Tamandua tetradactyla: one gene and its partners. The protein of the gene in region 1 interacts with the protein of each later gene in a pairwise test. Links are inferred from orthologs where the notes say so. Each region holds a gene or a part of one and is shown in the gene's direction. Other genes may lie near its edges. The genes, in order: TRIM21, TXN2, GRAP and USP15.

Region 1 (7,773 bases):
ATGAAGGGAAATCTTTCCAATGGGAAGAGCTTTCAAGCAAATGATTATTCCCTTCAGATCTATATATAAACTGATAACCTGACAATTTTGAACAGATAGGATTATCTGAGATTGATGATAAAGAGGTATGGGGAGAAGTATGTGTTGAACTTCTAGAAAACAGTCCAGAGTACAAAAATATGTTTGTCCCATGTGAATACCTACCAAAAAGTATCCAATGCAGAGAAGGCAATCTATCAGGTAGATAGATGATCAGCTTCTGTCCCAGCCACCTGTTGCTTGTTCAATGGACTCAGGTACAAGCATCCAAATCAGTAGTGGAAAAAGATAAGCCTTGGTGAGGTAAAGTCTATGCTATTTACCTCAGATACATCCTCTATCCCTGCTGCTATAGATACCTGAATATGAAAAGTCAACTCTGAGCCCAACTTTTCACTATTTCTAGGAGGGTGTAGATAATCTTCTAGTGGAAGATTAGTTATATTGAACCAAAAGAAATTTGTTGTTATGAAATAGGTATATATTCCAAAGACAGTTTTATTTTTCCCATCTATAATGCTTCTGCCAGCACCACCACTTTTAGACTTACACAATCAGGGTACCCCAAGCATACTTACAACTGATTTTACAGACAAAGAATTCTGATATTGGGCTTGCTGTATGGAATGCACTGGTTTTACAGTGTATCCCATCAGCCAGAAGCAGCTGGCCCAATGAAACTGTGGAATGGCCTGCTGAAGGCTCAGCTATGGCACCAATTTGGAAACCCCACCCTGTAAGAATGATGGCGATTCCTATACATTCTGGTACATGCTTAAAATCAGCAAGCAATATGTGGTAACTTTTTGAAACGTATATCCAATATGTACACATTGGTCAAAGAATCAAGGGAAGGAGGTGAAAGTGGCCCGTGTTTCTATCACATTAATAACTCATTTACAAAAAACGGATTAAAAATTTAAAAATAGGGGTGACAAAGGTTAAAATAAATTGACTAGATGGAAATACTAGTGGTCAATGAGAGGGAGGGATAAGGGGTATTGTCTGTATGGGTTTTTTCTTTTTTCTTATTTGTTTTTCTGGAGTGATGCAAATGTTCAAAAAATGATCATGGTGATGAACAAGCAACTATGTGATGATATTGTAAACCATTAATTGTTCACCATGCGTATTAGTTACGGTTCTCTAGAGAAACAGAATCAACAGGAAACATTCACAAATATAAAATTTATAAAAGTGTCTCACAAACCACGGGAATGCGGAGTCCAAAATCTGCAGGGCAGGCTGTGAAGCTGACGATTCCAATGGAGGGTCTGGACAAACTCCACAGGAGAGGCTTGCCAACTGAAACAGGAACAGAGCCTGTCTCTTCTGAATCCTCCTTAAAAGACTTCCAGTGATTAGATCAAGCATCAGTCATTGCAGAAGACACTCCCCTTGGCTGATTACAAATGGAATTAGCTGTGGATGCAGCTGACGTGATCATGACCTAATCCTATGAAATGTCCTCATTGCAACAGACAGGCCGGCGCTTGCCCAACCAGACAAACAGGTACCACCACCTGGCCAAGTTGACACATGAACCTGACCATGACACCATGTATGGAATGTTCGTATGTTAAGTTTTACCAATTAACATATTTTTTAAAATTTAAAAAGTAACTCATTTACAGAATATTTCCTTTTAGTCTCCACAACATAGTACTCTGCCGGTTTGTAGGTCCCTAGTAAATAACAGAGAAGCCCTTCCACTAGGGAAAGCAAACCTGATTGCAATCATTGGAATCTGCCACTGTTCCCTGCCTATTTGGAGTTTCTTAAACCACTGATGACAGAGTAGAGGGTTCCTACAAACTGACTGGAATGACATCCCTACTATCAAGGAAAACTTGGGTTGCTGGTACACAGTGGGGCAAGGAGGACTGGCTGGACCTATAACCCAAGGTATATGGTGAAGAGATTCTTATTCTCATCAAGTAACAATGGTCAGTGTGCTAAAGACAACGTGTGCTAATGCGATAAGGCAAGAACATGAAGGATACTGCTCCTTCAAGACCAGAGATTCACGTGCCATGTTAAGAACAAACTGAAGTACTGGCAGTGACAAGAATTTGGAACGGGTGGTATAAGAAAAGCTATTATTATCAACTTTGCCTTAATCTCCACCTTGGTAATGGGTATAAGATCAGTGTTTAAAAGTTTGTTAAAGTTTATCTGGGCAACAAACTACTCCAGAATCCAGGAGCACCAACCCAAAAGTGGCAAATAGCTCCAAGAAGGGAGCGGAAATTGGGAACCTATATACAGTAAGTCTTTCTGATTTGATAGCTAGGCTACATTGCCTTATTTGAGCTGTTCCCGATGGAATGCCCCACCCTAAGGTGACTATTTCTGATTGGCTGGCTTTACTGCCCTGCCTACCACTGACTTTATGTTGAAAGGCTGCCCCTCCCAAGTTTCCATCATGTTACTTGGGTTTGTGGATAAGGTATTGGCCAAGGCTACTCCGCCTCTATTTTATTTTAGTAAGATGATAACATCTGTTTTGCCAGTTGATTTGTGTGCATAGTATTGAACAAGCACCAAAATAAACCTGTGGTGTATATATTAATATCCCTGCTTAATAGATGAATAAGCTGAAGCTCAGAATAATGAGCACCCAGGAAATAAATAGCAAGATCAGCACTGAACTCACATCTGCTCTATTTTGAGCCCTAAGCTCTTTTCATACACCTCCCAACAGTGGTTTACTCAATTCCTGCAGGAAATCACAAAGAATGCATTGAGGTGAAGCAGAATCATTTTGTGAGTGTCTGCAAATTCAAATACTGGTCGCTTTTTCTTTTTTTTTTTTTTTAACTCTTTCATTCTGCTTGAACACTAGATGTCACTTGAGAGCCTTTCACTTATACATTCTCTTACAAACAGAACTGGAAAATTTAAAGCATGAAGTGTTTTTAGGATTCCTAAATCTATTGTACAGATGAAGAGAAGCTTCACTGATGTTTTTACCTTACGTTATACAGCGACAAAACACACACACACACAGAATGAACTGGAAGAAATTTAGAATTCTTCTAATCTCACCATTTCCTCACCTTCTTTTCTACTTCCTCATCTGCAGTTTGTGACCACACCCTAACCAACCCTCCCTGCAGCCTCTGCTTCAACTGCCAGGGCAGCCAGTTATCTCTGGGCTGTCACTAAAATGAGGATCTTTTCTAGACTGTTAACTCTAGTGCACTTTTGCTTACTACGTCACTCAAGCAAGTCACTCCACTCAGCTTCATTGTCCTCCCTGAATATGAGAATAATAATCCTCACTTGCTAAATTGTTGTGTAAACTACAAAATATACCTGCTTCCTGAGCCACCGTGGCTCGCCCTCAAAGTTCTCCCCTGCCATGCTGGAGACCTGGGTTCAATTCCTGGTGCCTGACCATGCAAAAAAAAAAAATATATATATATATATATATATATAACCTGCTAAAATCCCTACCTCGGTGACAAGAACACGGTGGTCCTCAATACATGTTAGTTTTCTTCTTGCCACTCACTGGTATGATATCTGCTTGGCAGTTGGGCAGAATAAATCTCTTACCCCAGATGTTGAAAGAATATCATGTTTTGGGAAAAGGAATTCATTTATGGAAGCAGGAAGCAGGTAGTGGTATATAACAGGGAGTGCCAGGCCCTTTTAGGAGCAGCACCCAGATGCAGACACAGCATTTATATACAGGAAGGTGACCAGTGCCAAAGAAAGCACATTTGGGTAGATTTATTAATTTATCACCAAGTCTTCTTTCCCAGACAGCCAAACTGTATAACCAAATCTGCTTTCCACGGTACCCGACCCTTTTCCTATCCCCCCAGCTCAGACCATAGGAATCCACAGAAGTTAGTGTCTCTAATGCTCACTGGAAGGAAGACAGTAGAAACCACGTCAGATCGGCCTTTCTGGGTGCCCAGCTCCTGCCTTACAGCCGAGTAGGGGACAGTTTCCCCCCAGAGCAGCTTATGACACTGCTCTAGAGTGTGCAGTTGCACTGGAGGGAAGAGGGCCCATAAGCCACAGGAAGAGAGTAATTGCAGACCTCGGAATTGGGAGGGAAACAGCCTCAGTTGCACAGAGCTGGGAGGGGGAAATGTGAGAGGGGCCCCTAAATTAAATTAATGGGAACGAGCTTGCACATAGGATGAACTGCTGCTGAACTTTCTCCAAGAAGCCTGAATCTGGCATTGTCAGAAACCTTCTTACGTTCTCCCCCGGCCCAACTCCTTTCACTTCCCTACCTTCCCTTCTTCACTCCTCCTCCTGCCCCGCCCCTCTCCGTTTCCATCTCCTCCCCGCCCATTTCTCCGCCCACACTCCTCCCCTGGGTTTTTTTTTTTTTTTTTTTCTGACTTGCCGCTTAGAGGAAATCGAAAGTGAAATTGATAAGCGCCTGCCGTCCAGTGACTACCCTGTTAAAGTGAGTTAATTTGGCCAGATTAAGGTGCCCGACCCTCCCTGGGGGCTGTTCTCCCTCCCCTTACCCAGATTTGAAGATTCTCTTCCAACCCGAGAGCCTTCTATCCGAATTGTCCTTTCTCTGCTCCTGACTTGATTGGACCCAAGCCCAGAACTTATTCCCATGCTGGACAGTGAGTATGATTTGTACCAGGAAGAAGCTGGGGCTACCCTGATGCTGACGCCAGATCTGGGAGGGGGCAGGTGAGGGTGGAAGAGCTGGGTCCTAGTCTAGCCTGCCGGGCGGCTGGGGAAACCCAGCATGAGGTATGGAGCCTTCCTTGAAGCTGAATGTTTTTTCCTCCCATCCCCCCACTTGCTCCTTGCTGGTTCAAGACCGAGCTGGCCTATACCCAAATGAAGACAGGAAGGTTTGCAGTTGCTCAGAGGAGTCCCTGTCAGGAGCCCCTGCCTGCTCCTCCTCACACCCTCAGTACACCCAGGGGCCACCCCTTCCCCAGCAGCTCAGGGGACACTCCACATCCCTGTTCCTCAATAGCAAAATCCCTAAATTTCTTCCTCCTCTATGTATATGACTCCTGCCATTATTGTAATGATTAATGAAGATGTATGCAAAGCGTGGAGCACATTCTCTGGCACACGGAGGATGGAAGGGCCATAGTAAATGGTATCTGTTATAATGATGAGCTTCTCAGCAAAATGGAGGGCTGGTGGGATAGGAGAAGATGGATAGAAAAAGCCTGAGCACTGAAGGGAATCTTTATAATAAATCACCACAAGAATTTCCAAAGTGACAGTTGGTGGAAATGGTCCTTGTGTGAAGCTGGAGACCCCATGGCCTGAGCCCCATACTTCAGCAACCCCTTCCTGGACCTCCCCGCCAACCAAATACCTAGTGGGCACACCTCAAATAGAGAAGGTGATATAATTAAATGAGTTCATCCCTCAGCCCCAGGCTGGGCACATAGTAAACCATCAGGAGTTGTTTTTTTGTTTATTTTATTTTACATAGGCAGGCACTGGGAATCAAACCCGGGTCCTCTGGCATGGCAGGCAAGCATTCTTGCCTGCTGAACCACCGTGGCCCACCCTTGTTTTGTTTTGTTTCACCTTCTTTATCATTCCATTTGAAGGACTTAAGCAACGATAGACATGGTGAAAGAATTTTAAACAGCTTTATCTTTGAGGTTCTAGACAATTTCCTCTCCCTCTTTTGTGGACTCAGTTTCCCCTTCTTTCTAACTATATCAACAGACCAGACTATGGAGGAGTCTTTGTTATTTAGGTTGTTCTCATCTTTCCTATTTTCACCCCCTCCAGTTCACTCCCCCTTATAGTTTCCTTTGAATCATTTTTATTTCCCATAACCCCTCTCTTCTTTCCTTTTTTTTTGTCTCCCCAATAGTCCCAAACAAGATCTCTGTGCTGCTGCTTAGCAGGGACGTTACCTCCATGGCCTCAGCAAAGCCCCTGGCAATGATGTGGGAAGAGGTCACGTGCCCTATCTGCCTCGATCCCCTAGCAGAACCTGTGAGCATTGAGTGCGGCCACAACTTCTGCGAAGAATGCATCTCTGAGGTGGGGAGAAACGGAGGCGCTGCCTGTCCCGTGTGCCGGAAGAAATTCCTGCTCAGGAACCTCCGGCCTAACAGGCAGCTAGCCAACGTGGTGGACAACCTCCGGCAGATCAACGTAGATGCCAAGGAGGGCACAAAGGGGGACCACTGCGAGGTACATGGAGAGAAACTTCACCTGTTCTGTGAGGGAGACAGGAAAGCCCTTTGCTGGGTGTGTGCCGAGTCCCGGAAACACCGCGATCACCCCAAGATCCCTATTGAAGAGGCTGCTCAGGATTACCGGGTAAGGCATTCACCTGGAGGCATGGACAGATGGGAAGGAGACGCTCCCCAGAGCAGGGGATGAACAAGAAGTACCCCTGGAGTTGACTGGTTGGGGAAAGGAAGGTTATTCCATGCCTAATATACCAGGGGAAATGCAAACTAAGCACAATCTTCTCAGTCCCCAGGAACAGGGACTGTGCTATGGAAAAATGCTGCAAGAATCACGTTTCCTTGTGGCTTCCCGGTTAATTAGGAACTAGTAACGCCTCCGCCCCCGCCCCCACCCCCGCCCCCACCCCCGTGACTCCAACAGTGTAGCTCTATTCCGCAAGCAAAGATCAGGCTTTTGCTCAAGTCCTTCCATCTGCAGAACTCCTACCCCACTCAGACTCTAGTACCCAGGCCTTTCTAAGAACCAATCTGAACCTCCGCATCCCACAGCGCCCCCCCTACACTTCCTGGTCTGTTTGGGGACTAACTTGCTGTCTTCCTCTCCAGGAGAAGCTCCAGGACGCTTTAGAGAAGCTGAGGAAAGAGCAGGAGTTGACTGAGAAGTTGGAAGTGGATGTTGCGAATAAGAGAACAGCCTGGAAGGCAAGAATCATGCCCTAAAACGGACCTGAGATTAGAAGCCTGGCAGGATCTAAGATCCTGGGCTCAGTAAGGCCCTAAGCACAGCTGTCTGAACAGTGACAGAGTAGGGATACGTCACTCTACAAAAACCAACCATCCTCAACTGGTGGAGGTAAAAAAGACAGAGGCTAGAAGCAGAGGCCTAATCAGACACAAATCTTGACAGTTCATGGGAGACTATGCTGAGGAGGACAAGTCATACCCCAAAGACCCCTGCACCTCTGAGCCCAGTCCCTGGCAAAGGGGTGCGTGTGAGAGGGTAGCACCGCTGCCTCTCACTGACAGAGGTATCTCAGAAGAAAAGCCCAACAGCTATGCTTCTTTTTTTTTTTCTCTCTCCAAATCGGAGTAGATATTTTAATGAAAGCAATGGTCCTGCCATTCTTTATTTCTCATAATACATATTTACAGAAAAGACTGTCCGTTTTAAATTTTTATAATTATACAACTTTTTGCAGTTGAATCAAACAATGGACATCTCAGTAACTTTTTAAAGCAGCTTCAATGTATGTGTACAACTTATGTGATGGACATTGAATAATTGGAGTAAGTTCATTTTCAAAATGAGCACCTGGAAAAAGTAATGAAGCAACTTCATTGATGACAGGATCTCTTGGGAGAGTTGATTTAAGACCTTATCTTGACCATAAATCCACAATCAATCCAACCTTTCAAACTTCATTTTAGAAATGGGTGGGAAAATAGGTGAAAGGCTCTGACTGGGCACAATTTTCTACGTAGAGTTACAGTGGCTTTTGAGTTACTTGTATTTCTGTGATTGCACATATCCTGCAAGATTATACTGATGCTGAACTATTTTGATACAGTA
Region 2 (7,741 bases), on another chromosome or scaffold:
CCTTTGCCTCTAACCAGCTGTGCACCCCTAGGTGAGTCACCTGTCCCCTCGAAGATTCAGTGTGCTCCTCTGTAAACAGTGTGCAGGGGACAGAATGCCAACCCCATTTTACAGATAAGGAAACTGAGCTTAGATGGCTTACATTACAAGGATTCAAATCCAGGTCCTCAGGACCTGTTCGTTTCACCCACCCAGGCTTCACATCTGTAAGATCAGCACACCAGAGGCCCACCTTCCCAGCTCAGGCCTGGGATTTCTATCCCGACCTCATACTGACACTAAAATGTACCTTTTCAAAGAGCTTTGTACATTTTAACTCCCTTATTGACAAACAGTATCAAAGACACAGAGTTGAGGAGTTGATAAGGAACAATGCCAGAAAGAACAACTGACTTGCCCAAAGCCCAAGTGGGTTAGAGGTAACGTCTGGTGATGACCTAGCTCCAATTCTGAGCCTAGCACTCATTTCTCTGACCTGCAGCTGCCCCCTGTTCACAGACTGGGAGCACAGCAGAAGGGTAAGGGATACAAAGAGATCTGACAAAGACGAAGGGTCCACTGCTGCCCCACCCCACCCCGCCACCCGACTCCAGCCCCTTGCAGCTGCAGGCTATGCTCTGCACAGCAGAATCTGAGCCAGCCAGTCCTGGCCTGGCAAGGGCACATGAGGAGCCTCACCCCAACATAAGCCCTGGGGCCCCAAACTCTAGGTGTCTACCGGGGACACTGGCCTGGCACTGAGGAGGCAGTGAGAGGGGTGCCTTAGGCCCACCTATATCACAGCCTTGACAATCAAGAGTTGCCATCCCGAATACGCAACTATGTGATGATATTGTGAATTACTGATTATATAAGTAGAACGGAATGAGCATATATTAAGAATATGTGTTTCATTCTTGTAATTTTGTTTTAAGTAATAAAATTTTAAAAAAAAAGAGTTGCCATCCCTGAATTACAAATTATGCTGCTGTTCCTGTGTTCATGTTCTTATTATGATTCTCAAAGGGGGTGAAGGGACATTGTGTAACTGCTGGAAACATGACAGAAGGCGAATCACAACAGAACATGAAACCAGCTCCCAGAATTGCGAAATATGTCACAGTTCTCATTGTTCTGCAACAGCATTAAAAAAAAAAATCACAAAATTAAAATCAAATGAAGAGATTCAGAGAGAGCAGAACAATGAAGCCATGAGATGCAGAGAGTCCACAAGCCAGCAACCTTTGGAGATGAAGAAGGAAAACGCCTCCTGGGGAGCTTCATGAAACCAGAAGCCAGGAGAGAAAGCTAGCAGATGACGCCATGTTCACCATGTGTCCTTCCAGCCGAGAGAGAAGCCCTGACTGTGTTCACCATGTGCCGTCTCACTTGAGAGAGAAACCCTGAACTTCATCGGCCTTCTTGAACCAAGAGTGATGCAAATGTTCTAAAAAATGATCATGGCGATGAATATACTACTATGTGATGATATTGTGAGCCATTCACCATACACAGAATGTCTGTGTTAAGAGTATTCGTGTCTATGTTGTTTTGGTTTGATAATAAAAAATAACTTAAAAAAAAAATCAAATGAAAACAGAAAACAAAGATACACTGGAAGCCGTATCTCTTGGAGAGACACTCTCAGCTCAGACTGTGGCCCCACCACCCCTCTCTGTGTTTTTTTCTTCAAAGTGCCTCCCTTCAGCCACAAAATCTGCAGCTTGGTGCAGCCCTCTCCCCTGTGATCCTGCCTGCCGGGGCCTGAGGCAGCCCACGTCCCAGGACCGTGATCCTTGCCTGGGGCAGTTACAGCACCATTCAACTTAGTTTTTATACCAATTCCACCTCCAACTATCGGGGTGACCCTGGACAAGCTACGAAGCCTCTGTGTGCTATAACAGCACCAACCTCGTAGGGTTGTGAAGATTAAAGGAGTTAATATAGGTAGGTGCTCAGAAGAGTGCCAGGTGTTGAGCAACGATTCGATGCATCTGTAACTTTCAAACCCATGGGAAGAGACACCTTTTATATCACAACCTTACACATGCAGACATACATACCTAAAAACAATAAGTGTTTTATAAAACAATACTTAACCTTATTACATGCAACATATTCTAATATTTTCCACTTCCATTTTTTTTTCAGTGCTCATCACAACCCTCTACGTTGATTTCACAGCCCACTGTTGGCTCATATCCCAGTCTGCAAAAACACTGTAAGGGGTAGCTGTAGAGACGTTCCCCGTAGCCCTGGATGCCTGGCTTCTTTCTCCTCCCTTCATATCTATTCCCTGAGCCTGCCTTGGGACTGAGCCAGACACAGGCTAGTTTGGCTGGGCGGGCAGCAGACCTGTGAGAGAAAGCATAGCGGGGGGCATCACGAGAAAGCTGGACAGGTCCTCTGTGGCCTGCAGTGAACTCAGTCTTCTCTATGTGTCTCATAGGACTAGAAATAATTTGCATTGTGAACTAAGCTGCGAAATGGGCTCTGTGGAAGAGAGCTGTGGAAATGCTGAACAGGATTAATAGGTGGTTCTGGAACAGTAAGTGCTGGGTATACAAAAAAGCAGAAATGAAAATGAGTAAGGTGGAAGCACCCCTGCCAGATGGCACATGGCATTAGTAGGAACAGCTGTACTCAAGGATGGTGACCTCAGGAAGAGCCAGGAGCACTGGGGTTCCGCTGCTGGGCCACCCCCGTTGGCTCCAGCCCTGGGGGGAAGCAGAAGCTAAAGCCAGAGGTCAGACAGGATGTGGGGGCAATGCCTGCCTGTGCCCTCACCTAGTCTCCTGCCTCTGATAGACAAGGAGGTCCAGTAAGTGGAAGGCTGACATAGCTGTTATGGGCAAACAAATGTGGACCTGTTCCAAGGATTCGCTCACCACATCCCAGAAGAGGATCCCTGAGCAGCTGTGGCCTCTGGAGGGTGAGGGGGGAGAGGACAAATAATAATGCCATGTGGTCAACATAAGCTGGAATAAGACATTCCAAGGATTTTGGAAGAGGGTAACGTAATGTAAAGAGGAATTTGGAGTCCTAAGATTTGAGTTACATCTCTATTCTCGGTTCATTCAACCTCTAAACACCTACTACCACGCACCAGGCCTGGAGGTTAGCAATGGAGAGACGAATGGGCCTTGCAAAAGCTGGCAGTATAAATGAGGAGTGAGGAACAAAGAAGCAGCCAGTAACAACACCGAGTATTACCTGCAGTGACTGACAGATGTCCAGGTGGCTGTGGGAGCACAGAGGAGGGAATCTGTCTCCAACTGCAGAAGTTCAGGGCAGGGTTCCCAGAGCTGAGTTTGATCTGGAAGCATTTTCTCAAATAGAGAGTGGAAGGAAGGGCCTTCCAGTTATAGGCAGCAGCAAATGCATAGTACAGGAATCAGAGGCATTTCGGCAAACCCTGGAAGAGTGAATTCTCAATAGTGATTCCCAGAGCAAGAAATGGAGATGTGACATAGGACTCTGCCACTTTACCTGCCTGATAGCCTTGACTGACTAGAAGCCACTCCCCGAGATACCCAAAGATACTCAGTTTAATAACATCTATTGAACACCCTCTGTGAGCCAGGCACTGTACCAAGTGGGTGCTGGGCATACACAAATTATAAATAAACACCATAAATCCCTAATCTTAAGAACACAGTGTAATGGAAGCGACAAGCACTCTACAATGTGCTATGGGAGTTCTGAACAAAGCACTAGAAGAAGCAAATAATATTGCTCAGAGAAGAGGCGACAAGACGGCCCAGAAAGGATGAATAGGCTTTCTACCAGGTGAAGAGAAAAGAAAGCATATAAAGAAAAGCGCGGAGGCATATAAGAAAAGACAAGGGCCCAGGTGTCTTCAAGGAACAGAAAGAGGACCTGAGGGGTCAGATGTACCATACAGAGAGAAGGGGAGACAGGCGGTGGCTGGGCCACCAGCCTGGGGTGCACAAAGGTACCTAGACCCCTCTGTGCAGTGACAACGGATGTAAAATGAAGGTCTCAGGCCCAAGCAGGTTCAGAGGTCACATGTTACCTGGCGCCTCAAAGGCAGCAGTCCCCAAGTATCACGACCAACGGGCCCAGCTCCCCAATCACCCTACAGAGAATAACCTGAAGTGACTAGGGGCACAAGCCCAGCCCCTCACACCACAAACTGGGGAACTGAAGCCGGGAAGCGGTGAGTGACGTGCCCCCAATCACGAGGTCACAGACAAATGCCACAAAGTGGCCTTTTGACTCCCAGTCAGAGTCTTTTTCCCCCAAAATTGCACTACGCCTCTGAGAAGCTTAACCTCTTCATCCGTAAAACGGAGGGAAAGAAGCTTTCAAAACCTCTAGGAGTCGTCGGGAGGCTGTGAGGTAAACGGCGTGACCTGGGTTGGTTGAGCCGTGAAGAAACAGGAACTTGCAAAGCCCGGAACCCGCCCTTAACTCCCTCTGAGCCCGCCCCCGTTGTACCCGCCTTCTTCTACCGCCTCTTCCGGTCCCTCCTCCAAGGTCTGCCCGCCTCTTCCGGTCCCTCCTCCAGGGCACCCCGCCACTTCCGGAACTTCACCAAAGGTCCTGCGCTTTATTTGTGCCGTATCCTGCCGTTCCCATTGGCGGAAAATCTGGGCGGCCCCTGCGGGAGCGGGGAGAAGTGCTCCAGGTCGCCGATCCCCGGAAATGACGCTTAAAGACTCTCTCCTAAGGAAGTTACGGCAGGAGTGCCCTTGACGGGCGGGGAGGGCCGGGCTGTTCATCCCTCCGCTCACACTACGGGGAGGTAGGAAGCCGGTAGGGATGACTCGAGGCGGTGGTCGCAGCTGAGGAGCACAGCGGGAGTGTTGCAGCGGGGGAGGCTCTGGGAGTGGGGAGCTGGCCCTCCCGGGAGCCTGGGCTCCAGGTTGCGTCCGATTTCCTTCCATAACCTGTGGCCCTTCTGTTGTCATTCCCCTCACACACCTGTTCCTGTGCCTCTTAGTTCCCTCTTGAATTGTTGCGGGTCTTCTCTCCTGATCCCTCAGCAACTCCCCCTTTTTCCTTATTTTCCCATTAAAACACCTTTTAAAAAGAGTATTTGATAGAGCAAAGGCTTAGCAGTCAGCTTTGGGTGCCAGTGTTGACGCTTTCATTTAATAGTTGGGTTAATTCAGGCATGTCACTTAACCACCTGAGCCTCAGATTCCTTGTCTGTAAAATGGGCACTATTTTAGCAACTTCTCAAAGTTGATGTGGAAGCACTAATAATATATGTAAGGCACCTGACCCTGGCTCATAGCATGTGTTTTCTAAATATTGATTCCTCCCACCTCCCTTCGATTGTAATTCCACTTATATCCTTATTTGTCAACCCATTTTCCTAACTCTGGCTTGCCATTCCTTTTTTTTTTTTTTTTTCTTTGTCTTTTCTTTTTTCCTTGGATTCTCATTCCCCACTCACCTCTTCTCCAAAAATCTTACACATTGTTTCCTTATATTTGCTTCCTACCTGCATCTCTCTGAGCCCTGCCCCCACCCCCTACCCCTGTACTCCCAAATACCTTTCTTTTTCTGGTGCATTGACTTCGTTTAGTCTGCCCCAGCTCTTCCTGCCTCTTCCCCTCACAGATGGCTCAACGACTTCTTCTGAGGAGATTCCTGGCCTCCATCATCTCCAGGAAATCCTCTCGGGGCCGATGGACACCCCTCACCTCTGGGGCCTTGCAGAACCTGCAGTGCAGCCCTGGTGGCCTTGCAGCAACACCCAGCCCAACCCAGACAATACACACCACCAGGGTCTGTACGACGACCTTTAACATCCAGGATGGGCCCGACTTTCAAGACCGAGTTGTCAACAGCGACACACCAGTAGTTGTGGATTTTCATGCACAGTGAGTACTGGGCATCAGCAGAAAACTGGGGTCTCATTTGTTCAGTTGCTGGACTGCCTGTTTTGTCCTAGCACTAGGCCCAGTGCTTCTCATATAAAGACTGATAAGACGTGGTCCCTGCTCTCAAGGAGTGTGCAGTCTGATAGGACACAGCCTAGTAAATAGTTTAAAACTCATTGAGATCAGTGCTGGGATAGATTTAAGTTCTGTATCTCACCGTCTGAATACCTCAGAGTCATCTTCAACCTGGAACAAAGCAGGAAAAATATGACTAGAACATCGTCTGGACTTTGATGTGTAGGAGTTCCTGGTCCAGAAGATAAGTTGATTTTATTTGAACATTTGACCATCAAAACTGTGGAAAGGACTGGCAGAAAGTTATCGGTGATCCTGTAGTGGAGCCTGAGCGTGCATGGGCTGGCAGGAGTTTCTTTTCAGTGTTATATAAAGTTTTAGGGATAGTTAAATGCCTGTGGCCTTCTGGTATTTAGCCTGGCCTTCTTTGTTTACAGACCTTGAAGCTTGCCTTGATCTCTGTCTACAAAAAAGCTGGACAGACTCCTCGGATTGAGGGACCTGGGAGGAGCCATCCTACCCTGAGTTAGAAGCTGGAAGGCCTTTTGGGCAAATCTCTGACACATTCTTTTGCTCTGTTTCCATTTCTTTCTCAACTCATGGTGGCGCCTTGGGCAGGCCATTTGAAATCTTTGAACCTCCCTTTCTTTACTTATAATGGAGATATGGTCTTGCAGACTGGGTCTTTCAGTGTTGAAGTCTCTGATGAAAGGGGTTTGTTGGTTTTTTAGTTTTGTTTTGTTTGCATGGGCAAGCACCAGGGGTTCGAACCCAGGTCTCTGGCATGGCAGGCGAGAATTCTGCCACTAAGCCACTGTCTCACTGCCCTGAAAAGGGTTTTAAAACCTGTGAATAAAGTAGTTGTCAGCCAGAGATTAGTGGAAGGCATTGTTGTGGTACACTCCTGGTATGGTAGTATTCTAGAGAGGGCTTCAGAAACAAATGATACATGGGGTGAAGTTTCATTTTCTTCTCCCAGCAAGGAAATAGGTTATAAGTTTGTTCATTCAGTGCCAGGCCCTGCCCTTGGTGCCGCATACATAGAGATGGCAGCATGGTGTCTGTCCTTGAAGAGCTCACCACCAGGAAGGGACTGCCTATACAGGGCAGTGATGGCTGTTGGTGCAGTGGCTGTGGAACCACAGAGTACCCCAGGCTGAAGGAACAGATACATGTAGCACTTCCTTGGTTGCAGTCTCAGCTGTGCTTCTTACTAGCTCTGTGATCTTGGGCAAGTTTCTTAGCTTATATGGGCCCCAGTTTCTTCGGAGGATGCTTTCTCTTCCTTTGCAGTAAGAGCTGGGGAGGTGCTGACGTGGTGACGGGCCCGTTGTTCAGGCTCCCTAGCCCCTGGATTCCCTCCCTTGATTTTTGAGTATACGTGTCAGTTCACAGAGCATGTTTATCCACATTGCCCGTGTTGATTTCTGTAAGAACTTTGAGAGTCAATCTGTTTTTCAAGTGAGGACACTGAGGCGCCAGAACATTCAGATGATTGCTCAAAACTTTAAAAATCAAATCCCATATTCTTCTATATGATAGTATATTTTTCTAACATATATTGGAATAAATAAAATAACCTCTGTGAGTCTCAGAAAATTTTCCCAGTTGCACAGTCTCCTGGCATCACCAATTGGCATGTAAACATTGCAGGTTAATATTCAAACACCATCAACAGAGCCAATAAGGGCAAGCGGTTCCCTCAGAAAGATGCGGCTTGGAGGGTTCTGGGGAGAAAAGAGATCTGAGGGGTGAGTGATCTTGTGACAGACTAGATGCTTCCTTTCTCCCCTTCCAAGGTGGTGTGGCCCCTGTAAGATCCTGGGGCCACG
Region 3 (7,391 bases), on another chromosome or scaffold:
ACGGCAGGAGAGGGAGGACCTGCGCTTTCCTTCATTCACTCAACAAACACTTACTGAGCTCTGCCCTGTGCCAGGCCTGGTTCCAGGTGCTGAGGACACAGCAGACAAGGAGCAAAGTCCTGGCCCTTGGGGCGCTGGTAGCCCCCAGGGGGGCGGGCAACCAATAAGATGAGTAAGGACATCAGGAGGTGACAGTGGGTTGGAGAAGGCCATCAGGGAGAGGAAAGGCAGAAGGCGCTGGCTGGCTGGCTGGGTTAGACGGGGAGGTCAGAGCAGATTCTCACCCCTGGGCTGAGTGAGACTGGTAGAGGGAGGGGAGGGCAGAACCAGCCATGCAAAGAGCCGGGAAGAGCGCGCCAGGCTGAGGAAGCAGCTGCAAAGGTCCTGAGGCAGGGCATACTCAAGTCTGAAGAGTTGAAAGAAAGGGCCAACATCTGGACAGCAGCTGGGGGGAGGTTGGCACGGTCAGGTAAAGAAGGACCTGTGAAGGATTTGGATTTCATCCTAAATACAGTGTGCATTCACTGAACAAGTTTTCTTCAGGGGTAGGATTTGATCAGATTTGTGTTTTAAAAAGTTAGCAGACAAAGTCCCCTTGGGGGAATCGTGAGAAAGGGGGAAAATTCAACTTCCCCAAGTGGAGAATTCTTGATATTCTCACACGCAGTGGGGACAACCACAGCAATAGGCTGAGCCCCCAATCTTGGGGTTTCTTCATATGAAACTTTACCCCACAAAGGATAGGCTAAACCTACTTAAAATTAGGCCTAAGAGTCACCCCCCAAAAAACAACCTCTTTTGTTGCTCAGATGTGGCCTCTCTCTTCAGCCAACGCAACAAGCAAACTCACTGCCCTCCCCCTCTCTACATGGACATAACTCCCAGGGGTGTGGACCTTCCTGGCCACGTGGGACTGAAATTCTAGAACGAGCTGAGACTTAGCATCAAGGGATTGAGAAAACCTTCTCGACCGAAAGGGGGAAGAGTGAAATGAGACAAAATAAAGTGTCAATGGCTGAGAGATTCCAGACAGAGTGGCGAGGTTATCCTGGAGGTTATTCTTACACATTAAATAGACATCACATTTTTAGTTAAGGTATAACAGGGAGGTTGGAGGGAACTGCCTGAAAATGTAGAGCTGTGTTCCAGTAGCCATGTTTCTTGAAGATGATTGTATAATGATATAGCTTTCATAATGTGACTATGTGATTGTGAAAAATTGTGTCTGATGCTCCTTTTATCTACCTTATGGACAGATGAGTAAAATATGTGGATTGAAAATAAATAAATAATAGGAGGAATAACTGTTGAAATAAATTTAGTAGATTGAAATGCTAGTGATCACTGAAAGGGAAGAGTAAGGGGTATGGTATGCATGAATTTTTTTGTTTTCTTTTTATTTCTTTTTCTGAATTGATGCAAATATTCTAAGAAATTATCATGATGATGAATATACAACTATGTGATAAAAAAGAATGTTCATATTGTATGTTGATTGGCTTTATTGATGAAATTTTTTTTTAATGACAAAAAAAAAGCTAGCAGAGGAACAAGAATGGAAATGGGGAGGAGCTACTGTAGTGAAGGTGATTTACACCAAGAAAAACTCAACAAACTGTTAATGCCCTTTATATGTAAAGAGTTCTGATAAATCAACAAGGAAATCATAAACAGCCTAGTAGAAAAATGAGCAAAGGATATGAGCAAGAAATTTGCCAAAGAAGCCATGCAAACCAATAAATACTCAATTTCACTAATAACCGACAACTTGGAACTTGGAACACTTAACTGTTTTCCGTTTACCAGCTAGCAAAATTTTATTTTAGAAAGAATCCCCAAGGTTTTTGAGGGTATAGAAAAATGTGCACTTTCATGTGGGAGGAGGGGTGGACAGGTCAAGGGACAAGCATTTTGGAGGGCGTTTAGGAGACATATATAAAGAGCCTTAAAAATATCCAGGTCCCCCCCAAAATAAAAAACTATCCAGGTCTCGTGACCTAGAAATTCTACTCCTGGGAAACAGGGAAATTGGTGATGCATGTACACTATTCCACCAGCAAATATTTTGGAGAGTGTTTAATGACATAAAAATGCTCATGATACAACATCAAGTGATGAAAAAGCAGAAGAAAAATGGCCCCATACGGAAGAGAGAGTTGGCTTTCTACAGAGAATCCGTAGACAGAATTGTGTGCTGGGGTAGTAGACATTTGTGGACTAGAATGCAGAGGGAACGAAGACCTGGAAATAAATTCCTGATAAGTTAACAGTTACCCTGTGACTGGACCCCTACGGAATCTGTGTTTCCTTCTTTACTTTTTCTGCATTTCCCGAATGTTCTGTGATAAACAAGCATTCTTTCCGGGGCTGGGCTGGGGGGCGGGGAGCGAGGCCCCCTCACTCTCAGGCTTGTCCGAGAGTGAGACAAGCCCATCTTTAAGATTCTGGTACGTTTGCTTCCTTTTTTTTGCCTGCTTTTAAAGATGAAAGGCAGTATTTATGGATGACCCTAACATGTGGGATAAATGTTTCTAGCTTCTACCCAGATTTGCATTAAACAGAAACAGATCGCATGATTGGAAAGAAGTAGTCAATAATGAACAGTTGATTTTTTTTTTTTTTTTTGAAGATTTAAAAAGCTTTACACCTATTGGACCATTTGGGGACAAAAGGTAGGCTTTGCAGGGTTTTTTTTTTAATATATATAATTTTAGATTTAATCAGTGTGCTGCACGGCTCTATAAATCCCTTTCAGTCCTATTCACCTTCAGGGCAGCAATGCTACTTATAACCCCACTAATGGGCCACCTTCCCTTCTCTCCGTTCCCTCACATTTAACTTCCGCCTCACTGGGTAACCGATCACCCATCACTCCTCTATGCGACCCTCGGTCCCCTGCATTCTACAGGAAGCCTCTTGAGTTGGGCTTTGCCAGAGTCACAAAAGTGGAATCATACAGAATCTGTCCTGTTGTGTCTGCTTCTTTCACTCAGCATTGTGTCCTCGGGGCTTATCCATCTTGTCATGTGCTGCAGGACGTCATCTTGTCTTACTGCTGCATAATCTTCCATCCTGTGTAACACCACACTTGGCTGATCCCCGCCTCTGCTGGTGGCCCTTGGATTGTTTCCATCTTTTGACAGCTGTGAAAAGCGCCGCTAGGAGCATCGGTGTGCAGGGCCCAGGCATGTCGCTGCTTTCAGCGCTTCTGGTTTATGCTGAGTATGGCATTGCTGGGTCTTTGCATAAGTTCTCAAGAGACCTTATTTTTTAAACGGTTTTAGATTCATAGGACATTGGAGAAGATAATCCCGTTTCCCTGATATTAACATCTTATATGGATATGGTACATTTGCTAACATTACAACCCTAGGTTATACTTTATGAGCTAAAATCCATTTTTAGATTTTGATGACGTTCTTTATTTTGTAACATGTTGCACAAAAGTATTATTTCTCCTGAATGCTAACGTTTTCGGCTTCCCTTTGAAGTTTGTATCTGAAGCACCTCCGTGGCTTCTCTAGTTCCCGCCCCGCTAACGTAACCCTAAAAATGTCCCTGCCTGACCCTCCCCCGGGTCGGGGCCTCAGCGTGGCCGTCACCTCCCGGCGGGCCTGGGAGCTGAGCCGCTGCCCCGTCCTGCCAATGCCATGACTGTCCCCCACTGCTGGGCCCAGCCGAGAAGCTGGCTAGTCCAAACCGACCTGGGCTTGGGGGAGACTCTGTGGTTGTGGTCCCCCCAGGCTTCTTGGCCCCAAAGGTCACTTCCCTGGGACTCAGCCAGGTGTTTGGGGACATGCGGCACCCTGCTGTGCCCAGCGGAGGCCTCGCCCCCCTTCCCCACAGACACCCCCGAGAGGCTGACCACGGGGGGTCCCAGGTCCTCCCTGACCTCACTGGGAAGGCTGGCCGCGGCTCCGCCCCCCACTGCTCTGCTCACACACCCCCACCCCACCCCCACCTGCACCCCGCAGCTGTCTGGCCAGAGTTCAGGCCAAACCTTTGGAGTCGCCTTCGATCCTCTGCCTCAAGCTCCCAGACTGTCCCACCCCGAGTCTGACCACTTCTTAACATGCCCTCTGCCCCACTCACAGCCCCTTCTCCGCGCTGCAGGCAGGGACGTAGCCTGAAGCTTACCCTCCACCCGTCTGCCCTTCCAGGGTCCCCTCTGCTTTGCAAAGGAACACTGAGCCCCTTCCCACAGTGGCCAATAAGGTCCCACAGCCCCCGCCCTCCCTCCACTGCAGACACCCGTCCCTTCTGTTCCTGGGACGCAGCTCGTTTCCGCTCAGGCCTCGCATGGGTGAGTCCCTCTGCCCCGGACACTGTTCCTTACCTTCTCATGGACGATTCCTGCTGGCAGCTTTGGCCTTAGCTCTTGTCACCTCCTCGGAGAGGGCTTTCCTGGCCCCCTGGCCCCATCTTCTTCCATCTGTGTCCTCCCGCCTTGCACTTTGCAAACCTCGTACCCTACATTCAGCTACCTGTCCGCTCCTTCTCCCTGCCCCATGGGAGGCAGCCCCATGTTCACAGCTGCACCCGCAGACAGGGCACACAGCAGGCGCTCAGTGCATGTGTGCTGAGTGCACGCACTGAACCAGGGTGGAGGCCGGACAGGAGCAGAGGCTCGGGGCAGGCACAGGTGTGCGTTTCCCCTCCAGCAGGAGAATTTCACCAGGGAGGCACTGGGCGGCCCTCCTTCCGGGGAATGTCTGGCTTTTCAATAAACCCTAAGAACTCAGCTTATGCAACCAATGAGCCAATCTGGGGCCTCTGAGTCAACCTGACAGGAAAACACAACCAAAATGGGAATGACCCATTCATACATTCCTACAGTCAGCAAAACCCAGCCGGTTCATGTGCCCATTTAACAGATGGGTAAACTGAGGCCCGAAGCCACAGAGCGGGCAGAGGCAGGCAGAACCCTCTAGAGTCCCCAGCCACACCATGAGCCTGCATTTTCTCTTTAATTTGGGGATTGTTTTATTTGCTTTTCTTCTTTTTCTTTCTTTTTAAGTGGAAGTGCTCTAAAAATACACCAAACTGAGACAACTGCTGCTTCCGTCCATCCCTGGGGCAGAGGGCCTGGAAGGGGCTCAGCCAGGCCCTCCACAGGCAAGGGGTGCCCGGCTGCAGGGCTGGGGCCTCAGGCCTGGGCCCCAAGGGGGACCCCAGCTCCTCTTGGCAGAAGTTCACCGTCCAAGCTGACATCCGTGCATCGGCCGCCCCCGCCCCCACCCCCCACCCCAGCCTTTGCTTCTGTGGCTCCCTCCCTCTGGGATGCTGCCCTCCCCCAGTTTTTGCTCTCAACAAATATCCCCATTAGGATCAAAGAGATGGGGGGGTGCAGGGGAGGGACAGGTGTCAGGGCCCCGCTCCAGGCCTGCTGAACCAGAGACCCCAGGCCCCGAGCGTTGGCTTCCTGTAGAGGCTCTGTTGGCGTGGCCTCAGCCAGGCCCCTTCCGCCCTCTGGGCTTTCTCATCTGCAGAATAATATTTTCACAGAGAAGAAAAGGCCCAAAGGGACATTACTGGGGCATGTGAAATAATCGGAATTAGGTCAGCGTTAAACTTCTTGAACTTGATAGCTGCGCTTGGAGCGGTTACCCAGGCAGACTTTAGGAGATGTGCGTGGCGGTGCTGAGTGCTCCAGGCGCCTGGCGTGTGAACCTGCACTCACATGATAGGCACATGGATGGATGGATGGATGGACAGACAGAGAGAATGATACAGCAAATGTGGCAAAATGTTGAAATCGGTGGAGCTGGGTATCTGGAGGAAGTTACCTTGGCGTTCTCTGCGTGGATTTTGTATTACTTTTGCAATTATCCTGTACATTGGAAATTATTTCAAAAGAAAACGTTAAAGAAAAAAAAATACTAGCTAAAAATAAATAAATAAATAACATTTCATCGTGTCTATCACCGAGGGCCGTATAAGAACTGGGGTGGCTGGTGTGACGCTTGCCTGCTGTCACCCCACCGTGCCCCTTCCCCGAGACCTGCCCCCAGCCTCTTGGTTGGTTGCTCACCTGCAGCTATTTCAGTTCCCCTTGTCTCAGCTGTGTGGCTGCAGGGGCCCTCACCCCATGGAAAATTAGCCCTTGTGACCGGACCGGCCTCCACAGCCCGAGGCTCCTCTGCCTCACTTCCCCCCTCTAGGTACCTCCTGCCAGCCCCAGGCCGCGGGGGCTGTTTAAATGCTAGTGTCCCAGGATGGGCACCCCCACCATCCCGGGGTCCTCAGATCTTCTCCCCAGGGCCTCCGTGCAAAGGCTGTGAATCCCCAGGTCTGCTCCCCAAGACCCCGCGGCCCGCTGTGGAACTGGAGACCCGGGAGCGCCAGCTGCCCCCCAAGCCTCCACCATGACCCAGGGCTCCTGTGTGTCACCCTGACCCACCTGCCCCGGGGGGCCGGGGACCGACCGGGACCAGACTCTCCTCGGCAGGGGAAGGGCAGGGCCACGTCACGCAGGCTGAGGTCCCAGCGTGTGACCCAGGAGGGACCTGCCGCTGTGCTGCCACCTTCTCCTCCGAAACGGGGTCCGCGGTGCCTTCTCCTTGGGCAGGGGGCGGGGGGAGGTCGAGCCCAGCGTGGCGCGCCGTAGGGCCTCGGCAGGGCTGACTGGCGACGTCCCTCCTGCCCGCAGATCCTGAACATGGAAGATGACCAGAACTGGTACAAGGCCGAGCTCCGGGGTGCCGAGGGCTTCATCCCCAAGAACTACATCCACATCAAGCCCCACCCGTGAGTGTTCAGCTTCTGCCACCATCTGGCCCCACCTGGTGCCACCTGCTCACACCTGGCCCTACCTGGCCCTACCTGGTCCCACCTGGCCCTACCTGGTCCCACCTGGCCCTACTGGTCACACCTGGCCCTACCTGGCCCTACCTGGCCCCACCTGGCCCTACCTGGTCACACCTGGTCCCACCTGGTCCTACTGGTCACACCTGGCCCTAAATGGCCCTACCTGGTCCTACCTGGCCCTATCTGGTCACACCTGGCCCTACCTGGCCCTACTGGTCACACCTGGCCCCACCTGGTGCCACCTGCTCACACCTGGCCCTACCTGGCCCTACCTGGCCCCACCTGGCCCTACCTGGTCCCACCTGGTCCCACCTGGCCCTACTGGTCACACCTGGCCCTAAATGGCCCTACCTGGTCCCACCTGGTCCCACCTGGCCCTACTGGTCCCACCTGGCCCCACCTTGCTGGGCTCAGCAGAGGAGAGCTGCCCGTGGAGGGGCACGACAAATCTCTCAGGCACAAAGCCCCCTCACCCACCCCTTTGTCCATCCGTCTGGGTCCTGAGAAGGGGATGTATGACATATATGGCCAAGAAATCTATTAAAAACAAACTTTAAATGATGGCCAAGGAAACCCCAAGACGA
Region 4 (7,317 bases), on another chromosome or scaffold:
GCTTTTAGGTAAGGTTCACCGTGTTCATATCAAGCCTAACTTCTAAAGTACTCACCATATTTCTTGTCCCATCTCAAAGCCCTAGGTTAAGTTTTTTGTTTTTTACAGAAAAATCGTGTATAAAATACAGGTTTCCAATAAACACCCTATTATTAACACCTTGCATTGGTGTGGTGCATTTGTTACAATTGGTAAAAGCACATTTTTATAACTGTACTATTAACTACAAACAGTCCATGGTTTAACTTAGGGGTCACTGTTTATATAGTGCAGTTTCATGGATTTAAAAAAAAAATTTATCCTATGACCATATATATATATATATATATATATATATATATATATATAACATATCCCTTTTAGCCATATTCAGATACATATTTCAGTGCTGTTAATTATGTTCACAATGTTATGCTACCATCACCACCATCAATTACCAAAATATTTCCATCATTCCAAATAGGTGCTCTGTAAATTTTTTTTCAAGAAGATAAAAACAAAGGTAAAAAGAACACCAAAAATATACCATCCCCCATCCCCCCATTGTTTATTTTTTTGTCTTTTTTTTCTTACTCATCTGTCCTTACACTGGATAATGGATAATGGGAGTGTCAGTCACAGGGTTTTCACAATCACATGGACAGACCTTAAAAGCTCTATAGTTATTCAATCATCTTCAAGAATCAAGGCTTTTAGATTACAGTTCAACAGTTTCAGGTATTTCCCTCTAGCTACTCAAATATACCAAAAAGTGAAAAGGGATATCTATATAGTGCATAAAAATAACCTCCAGAATAACCTCTCAACTCTATATGAAATCTCTCAGCCATGGAACCTTTATTTTGTTTCCTTTCTCTTCCTCTTTTTGGTCAAGAAGACTTTCTCATTCCCATGTTACCAGGGCCAGGCTCATCCCCAGGAGTTATGTCCCATGCTGCCAGGGAGATTTGTACGTTAGGAGTCATGTCCCATGTAGGGAAGAGCGTAGTGGGTTTACCTGTGAGTTAGCTTAGAGAGAGAGACCACATTTGAGCAACAAAAGAGGTGACTTTTGGGCGGACCATGGTGGCTCAACAGGCAAGAATGACCAGGGTTTGATTCCCGGTGCCTGCCCATGTAAAAAAAAAGAAAAAGAAAAAAGAGGTGACTTTTAGGCATAGTCTTAAGTAGGCTTATCCTCTTCTCTTGTAGGAATACATTTCATAAGGGCCAGCCCCAAGAGCTAGGTTAAGTTTTTTTGTTGTTGTTGTTTTTTTAACATGGGCAGGCACCAGGAATTGAACCCAGGTCTCCGGCATAGGTTAAGTTTTAAATGGACAAGAAAGGTACAAAGGGTCTGTGAAGGCAATGAGAAACACTTAAGCAAATAATACATTCTTATAAAGTTGATTAAGGAAAACATCAGTAAAGCCACACAATCTAAATAATCAAATGTAGCCTTTGATTTATATTCTGTTATCTGTGTGAGTCAAGGTCAAATAATTTTTCTCATAAATTATCAACTTAGCTATTCAGTAGGGATGTGGACCTTAATCAATTCAGTATTTACAAACATCTCATTTCTCTTCATAATTATGTTTGCAAGTAGAACCATAAATAAATAGGCAGAATTTTCATAAATTAGTAAACTGAGATCACTAAAATTTTAATTGCTATAAACAAGATCATAAAGGTAGCTAGAAAAATAGAAACTTAACCAAATCTTTTAGATGCTGGGGCTAGACTGCTTGGGTTCAAATTTAGGTTCTTTGCCTCAATTCATCATTTATAGAATGGGGATAATAGTGGGACCTACTCATACCACTATTGGTACTTGTATCATGTTTAGAACCATGTTTAACACTTTGTAAGCTTGTTAAATAAAATAACTAGTATTTGTTTCCTGTCTCTGATGGCAACTGGTTAGGTGTACAATACAACCTCATAAATCTGATGTATAATTCAAATTTACAGTGAATTTACGCATCTATAACCAATTAACTCAGTTGCCTTGAACATGTGTAAATGAGGACAAAATTATTTTACTTTGTTATATGAGTTCAGGCTTCAATATTTCAAAAATACATCTTCTTTGAAGGGAAAATTGGACAGCAAAGTGTGAATGGTGCATCACTTTTTGGTTATGTTATGTCTATAAAATGATAGGGAGGAGTTTGCCTTCAAAATTCTTAATGCTTTTTCCACCAGTAAACAAAGCTACTATTTATTGACTGGTTATTATATCTCAGGCAATAAACATGTGTTGTTTCATTTAATCCTAATAAAAATCTTTTAAGGTAGGTATTTTTATCCCCAATTCTAAAACTACAGTAAAGGTTAGGTACTTTGCAGCAAGAAGCTGAAGTGAGGTTTGAACTTAGGACCATGTGATGCTAACATTCTTTCCATGTCATGCTGCTTCTCTGTGAAAAATTATTTTCTTTCAGAGGTTGGGTGAAAAGGGGGAAAATGTAATCCTTTCAGGGTACTTATCTATTCAGTAGGGATGTGCACCTTAATCAATTTAGTATCTACAAACAATATCTCATTTCTTTTCATAATTATGCTTGAGAGTAGAAGCATAAATAAAAGAAGCAGAATTCTCATTAATTAGTAAACTAAGGTCACTGAAATTTTGATTTCTATAAACAAGATCATAAAGGTTGTTAGAAAATTAGAAGCTTGCCTAAACCAGGTAAGTTTGGGGACTCTGGAACCCGAGTCAGCTTTAGTTATTTTTCTAGCCCGTCCATAAAAAAAGCCAAATAATGTAAGAAATAGCAAAGGCTGGAAGCTGTTTTCAGACTCTCAAAAGGATGACATGATAGTGCACAATAGTATTACTATGCAGAAAATAAGCAATCATAATGCTGAAAGACACAAATCATAATGCCAATATGTACTACTTTCACTTGGGAAGGTTTAACACTTCTTATTGGCATAATTACATCCATCTTTACTGCATTCTCAGCAAATGAGTTAAAAATGGGAAAATGAGAAAGATCATATAGGGATTTTCATCATCTTTTATACTTTTCACAGCATTATGTTATCTTAATCCCAAATCTATGGACATCTTCATCCTTGAAAGATTGAAACAGTTTTGCAACAATTCATTTATTAAACAAATATCTAGAAGGAAGTTTTGTATTAGGCAGCGCTGTACTAGCCACCAGACGTACAGAAATTTGGCTTTTTTTTTAAAAGATGAACCCAGTTCCAGCCCTTGTAGAGTTTACATTGTAAAGCCAGTTGTGCTGTGATTGTGATTGTGATTGTGATGTGATGGTGTGATGTGATGTGATGTGATGTGATGTGATGTGATGTGATATGGTGGAAAGCACGTGCGTTTTAGAACCTGGGTTATAAACTTGTCTTTCCACTTTGCTGGCTGTGACCTTGGCCAAGGCCTTTCATATTGAGAGACTCGATTTCCCCAATTGTAACATAACTGTTGGCATCAAATAATATTTGATTGGTCTTATTTCTAGTTTCATTTCAGGTGTATACACCATGGAAAGATGAGGCTAAGAAAAGATTACCTTCCGATACTGAGGAGACAGGGCTAACTCGCACGTTTTATTATCATATGGTGCTTGGCATTATTGAATACGTATTTTATGCCCTGTTCACTGAGGAACTGGGACATGTTTTCCACTGCAGCTAAGCTGTCTGGGTGCGCCTGGAGAGGCGTCACAAAAGGTCCCCACCTGCAGCAGGAGTAAGCACCTGGAAGGAGACCGAGGAGGGCTTTGAGGCCAAGCGTTGTTGTCCTGTCGTCCTTTGTTTTGGCCAGTATTCACCGAGGTCGAGTTCCGGGACTCGCGATGAAAAGACAAAAATCAGGAGCTGATAAAATTTTCTGCCAGGGATTGATTAGCCGTCCCCACACCCCTTGTCCCACCCCACCCTACCCTCTAGCGTGAGTGAATGCGCTAATAAGGGTTTTCGGGCTTTCGCGAGAAAGAGGGCAGGAGAAGGCAGAAGTTGAGATGGATCCGGGTATGGCACTGCTCAAACGAGAGAGCCTCGGATACCCGGCGGGGGAAAGCTAAAACCAGGGGATCCGGATGGGCATAGGTAGTGGCGGAGGCAGGTTGCTGGGAAAAGGGGGGACGATGGGGGGCAGCAGACCACGGCCGCGTACTCAGTGCACACTCCCGAGGCGTACCCCCCTCCCCTTCCTTCTCTTTTGGTTTCGACCTGGCGGCTGGGAGGGGCCGCAGGACGCCATTCCCATAATGCTCTGGGGCTTACCGCCGCCGCCGCCGCCTCCGCCTCCGCTACCGCTAGTGGAAGAAGATGGCGGAAGGCGGAGCGGCGGATCTGGACACCCAGCGGTCTGACATCGCGACGCTGCTCAAAACCTCGCTCCGGAAAGGGGACACCTGGTGAGGAAAAGGGGTTGAGGTGTCCTCAGTTGCCCAAGGATGGTGGGGAACTGGGTCGGAACCATGGGCTGGTGTCTTTGGCTAGTGACAGGTGCGGGCAGGTTCGGCGGTGGCCGCCCTGGGCAACAGGATTTTGGCCGCTCCCGAAATGTTGGGGCAGGAGATGTGGGCCAGGGCTAGTGGTCTGTCGGGGCGTGCTGAGTGAGAGGTGTGTGGAAGCCGTATCTGCGGCTCGTGTAGTTCTCTTCGACCTCCTTCCCTCCGTAGTGCCGCTCCCACCTCGGGCCTTCGCGAACGATAGGTTAGAGTCGTTTGGCATGAGTCTTAACAGTGTTTTGACAGATCCCGGTCCTGCGATTTATCACGGTCTAACCCGCTTTATTTCTCCAGTCGTTTCCTTTCCTGGCATTGTCGGCATCTGAGTTTGCTCTTATTTTGATTCTTATATTCTTCCGGAAGACAGGATGCAGGATGCAGGATGTTTGCGGTTAGTACTACACAGGTGGCACGTGTCAGGGCACCAATTAAGAGAAGGAAACCCTAGTCTAAAGGAGGAAGAGAAGTAGGGAACCTTAGGCTTATGAGAAGTGACCACGTGGTCTTCTGCTTCAGTGGAGGCTCGTTAGAAGCCGGCTGCGACTCTTTGGAAGTGCAGCTCTCCCCTCCAGTTTCAGTGATAATGTAGGCCTGCAAAAAGTAGATAAGGCTTAAGTAACGTAACAATTTACAAACTTATGAAACACCAAAAGGAAATACACTTAAAATGCTGAAGAAGGTGTGGAGACTAATACCTTTTGGCCATATGAAGTGGCATCCAAAATAACATAAATTTGTGAATATGTGGCATAAAGATAAAATGCTTAGTTTATTGCGATGATGAGAACAAGCATGCCTTTTTTTTATGATTTGTGTATATGTGTTTAAAATAAAAATACAAATACATAATTTTTCTGAAAACAGCTAAGGAACATACTGTATTCATTGTGCTTCTTTATAATAATAAAAACTTATTTTCATTTCCTACTGTCACTATAATAATGGTATATAATTTGCAGTGTTTTTTTCATGTACTTTATTATGACTTTTAGTGGAAGGAGCATATGATTTAGACCTGAGTTATGTTACAGCTCCACCACTTAACTTGTGGAATGACTTTGGGGAAAGTTCATTTAAATCATTGCACCTCAGTATCTTCATTTAGGAAATGGACAATAATAATTTCACTATAGGGGTTTCATCTTGATTTAATTAAATATTCTAATTTCCAAAAGAGACATCAAGTTTCAGTTACCGTCTTATCTCCTCTCTTGAGAATACACCTGTGGTATTAGTACCATTTTCAAGTAAACTGGTGGATGGCAAACTTGGGATTTAAATTTAAATGATACGATGTAAATCCTGGCACTATTTTTCTACTTTGTCAGACTGCATACTATTTTTTTTATATAACAAAAATTCCTAAGGGTGTCAAATATTTCTGTTGCAATACAGCATAAATTATAATGTTTGAATGAATTTATAATCGTTGTTCTTCAAGTTGGAATGTTCCTAAGATGTTTATTACTGTGGGAAAATGGACTTTGGCCTGTGTGCTTTTAAAGGTGAAATCAATCCTTGATTCCTTTGTATATTAAAGAACATTTAACAATTCTTTATTCATCTAGTCAGTTACCCCCGCATAAAAAAGATAAATGTGGATTTCCTTATAATAGAAATATGTAAGTTAAAATTTAGATAGTATTGTTTCTTTTTAGTCTTGTCATATTTTTGATACACTGAGTAATAATTGGTGGTGTTGACCTTAGAGGATGATACAAGTGCTGAGTGTATTGTGGTCATTAAACTTTTAAGTGCGGCATTTTTTCAAATGAATGTATTTTTGCTTTTTATTTACAAAGTTATTGTAAATCATTTTAAAGGGTAAATACAGGTGGTCTATAAACTTGAGTTATTTCAATGGTTTCATTTTAAGAAACTGAAGCCCAGATATTTTAAGTAACAGCAGAATGTGTAGGTTTTTATCAAACATTACTTTTCCCTCTGAATTAAAGAAAAAAAAAATGACAGGAACTATGTAGTGCTGGGCAGTTGCAGAAACCAGTTTGGTTTATATGTGAGCCATTTTACTTGCCATTTAGCAACTGAAACCTGGCAAGAACTTTAGAGTAAAACTCTGATTTGGTCTTTTAAGGAAAAGTATAGATTTGATCATATCCTTAAGTTCAGGACTGGTAGAGATATTTAATTTAGTTATTACTTGGGCTTACATATTGGAACTCAGTAAAAAGTTAGATTTCTCTTTTTAACGTCTCTTTTTAAAAGTTTCAGATTAGTTTTTTCTGGGTATTTGGTCAAAGCTTGTTTGTTTTAAAGCTGGAATGGGCCATATGCAAATGAACATTGGCTTTGTGTGTGTGTGTGTGTGTGTGTGTGTGTGTAGGATAACCATCTTTGAAAGACTGGGCTGGGCGGGCCGCGGTGGCTCAGCGGGCAAAGTGCTTGCCTGCTATGCCGGAGGACTTCGGTTCGATTCCCGGCCCCAGCCCATGTAACAAAAACGGAGAAACAGAATACAATAAAACAAGAAAATGTTTAAAAATGTTTCCCTTTCTTCCTTCCTTCCTTCCTTCTATCCTTCCTTCCTTCTCTCTGTCTTTCCTTTAAAAAAAAAAAAAAAAAAAAAAAAAAAAAAAAAAAAAAAGAAAGACTGGGCTATTGGGGAAAAAATGATGGGTTTACCATAAGTTTATTTCTGAAACTTAAATACAGATGATTGAAGTTATAGTCAAATGCATTAAAAAGAATACATTTCACCGATGAGTGTATTGTAGTACTCTGGTAACTCTTAATACTTAGTCGGGTATTAAGATTCATTTGATTCTTAGGTGAATGCTAGAGTTTCTGCTTATTTATAAATAATGACTGATTTTTACTGCAAATTAATTTT

What was found.
Region 2: the proteins of TRIM21 (region 1) and TXN2 interact in binary tests that used the Homo sapiens proteins (3 or more experiments, as listed by UniProt). The two-hybrid records come from large-scale screens. The link is inferred for Tamandua tetradactyla from reciprocal best matches to the Homo sapiens genes TRIM21 and TXN2.
Region 3: the proteins of TRIM21 (region 1) and GRAP interact in binary tests that used the Homo sapiens proteins (3 or more experiments, as listed by UniProt). The two-hybrid records come from large-scale screens. The link is inferred for Tamandua tetradactyla from reciprocal best matches to the Homo sapiens genes TRIM21 and GRAP.
Region 4: the proteins of TRIM21 (region 1) and USP15 interact in binary tests that used the Homo sapiens proteins (3 or more experiments, as listed by UniProt). The link is inferred for Tamandua tetradactyla from reciprocal best matches to the Homo sapiens genes TRIM21 and USP15.

The regions. Positions count from the first base shown.
Region 1 is NC_135334.1:75,426,088-75,433,860, reverse strand, and holds the start of TRIM21 (E3 ubiquitin-protein ligase TRIM21), read left to right. Parts: upstream 1-4,428; 5' UTR 4,429-4,633; coding exon 4,634-4,643; intron 4,644-5,875; coding exon 5,876-6,330; intron 6,331-6,809; coding exon 6,810-6,905; intron 6,906-7,773. UniProt on the Homo sapiens protein: E3 ubiquitin-protein ligase whose activity is dependent on E2 enzymes, UBE2D1, UBE2D2, UBE2E1 and UBE2E2.
Region 2 is NC_135333.1:28,801,578-28,809,318, reverse strand, and holds the start of TXN2 (thioredoxin, mitochondrial), read left to right. Parts: upstream 1-4,510; 5' UTR 4,511-4,747; intron 4,748-4,753; exon of another isoform or gene 4,754-4,867; intron 4,868-5,571; coding exon 5,572-5,834; intron 5,835-7,708; coding exon 7,709-7,741.
Region 3 is NC_135332.1:2,184,970-2,192,360, reverse strand, and holds the start of GRAP (GRB2-related adapter protein), read left to right. Parts: upstream 1-4,057; 5' UTR 4,058-4,072; coding exon 4,073-4,303; intron 4,304-6,649; coding exon 6,650-6,747; intron 6,748-7,391. UniProt on the Homo sapiens protein: Couples signals from receptor and cytoplasmic tyrosine kinases to the Ras signaling pathway. Plays a role in the inner ear and in hearing.
Region 4 is NC_135333.1:129,773,855-129,781,171, forward strand, and holds the start of USP15 (ubiquitin carboxyl-terminal hydrolase 15), read left to right. Parts: upstream 1-4,211; 5' UTR 4,212-4,281; coding exon 4,282-4,370; intron 4,371-7,317. UniProt on the Homo sapiens protein: Hydrolase that removes conjugated ubiquitin from target proteins and regulates various pathways such as the TGF-beta receptor signaling, NF-kappa-B and RNF41/NRDP1-PRKN pathways.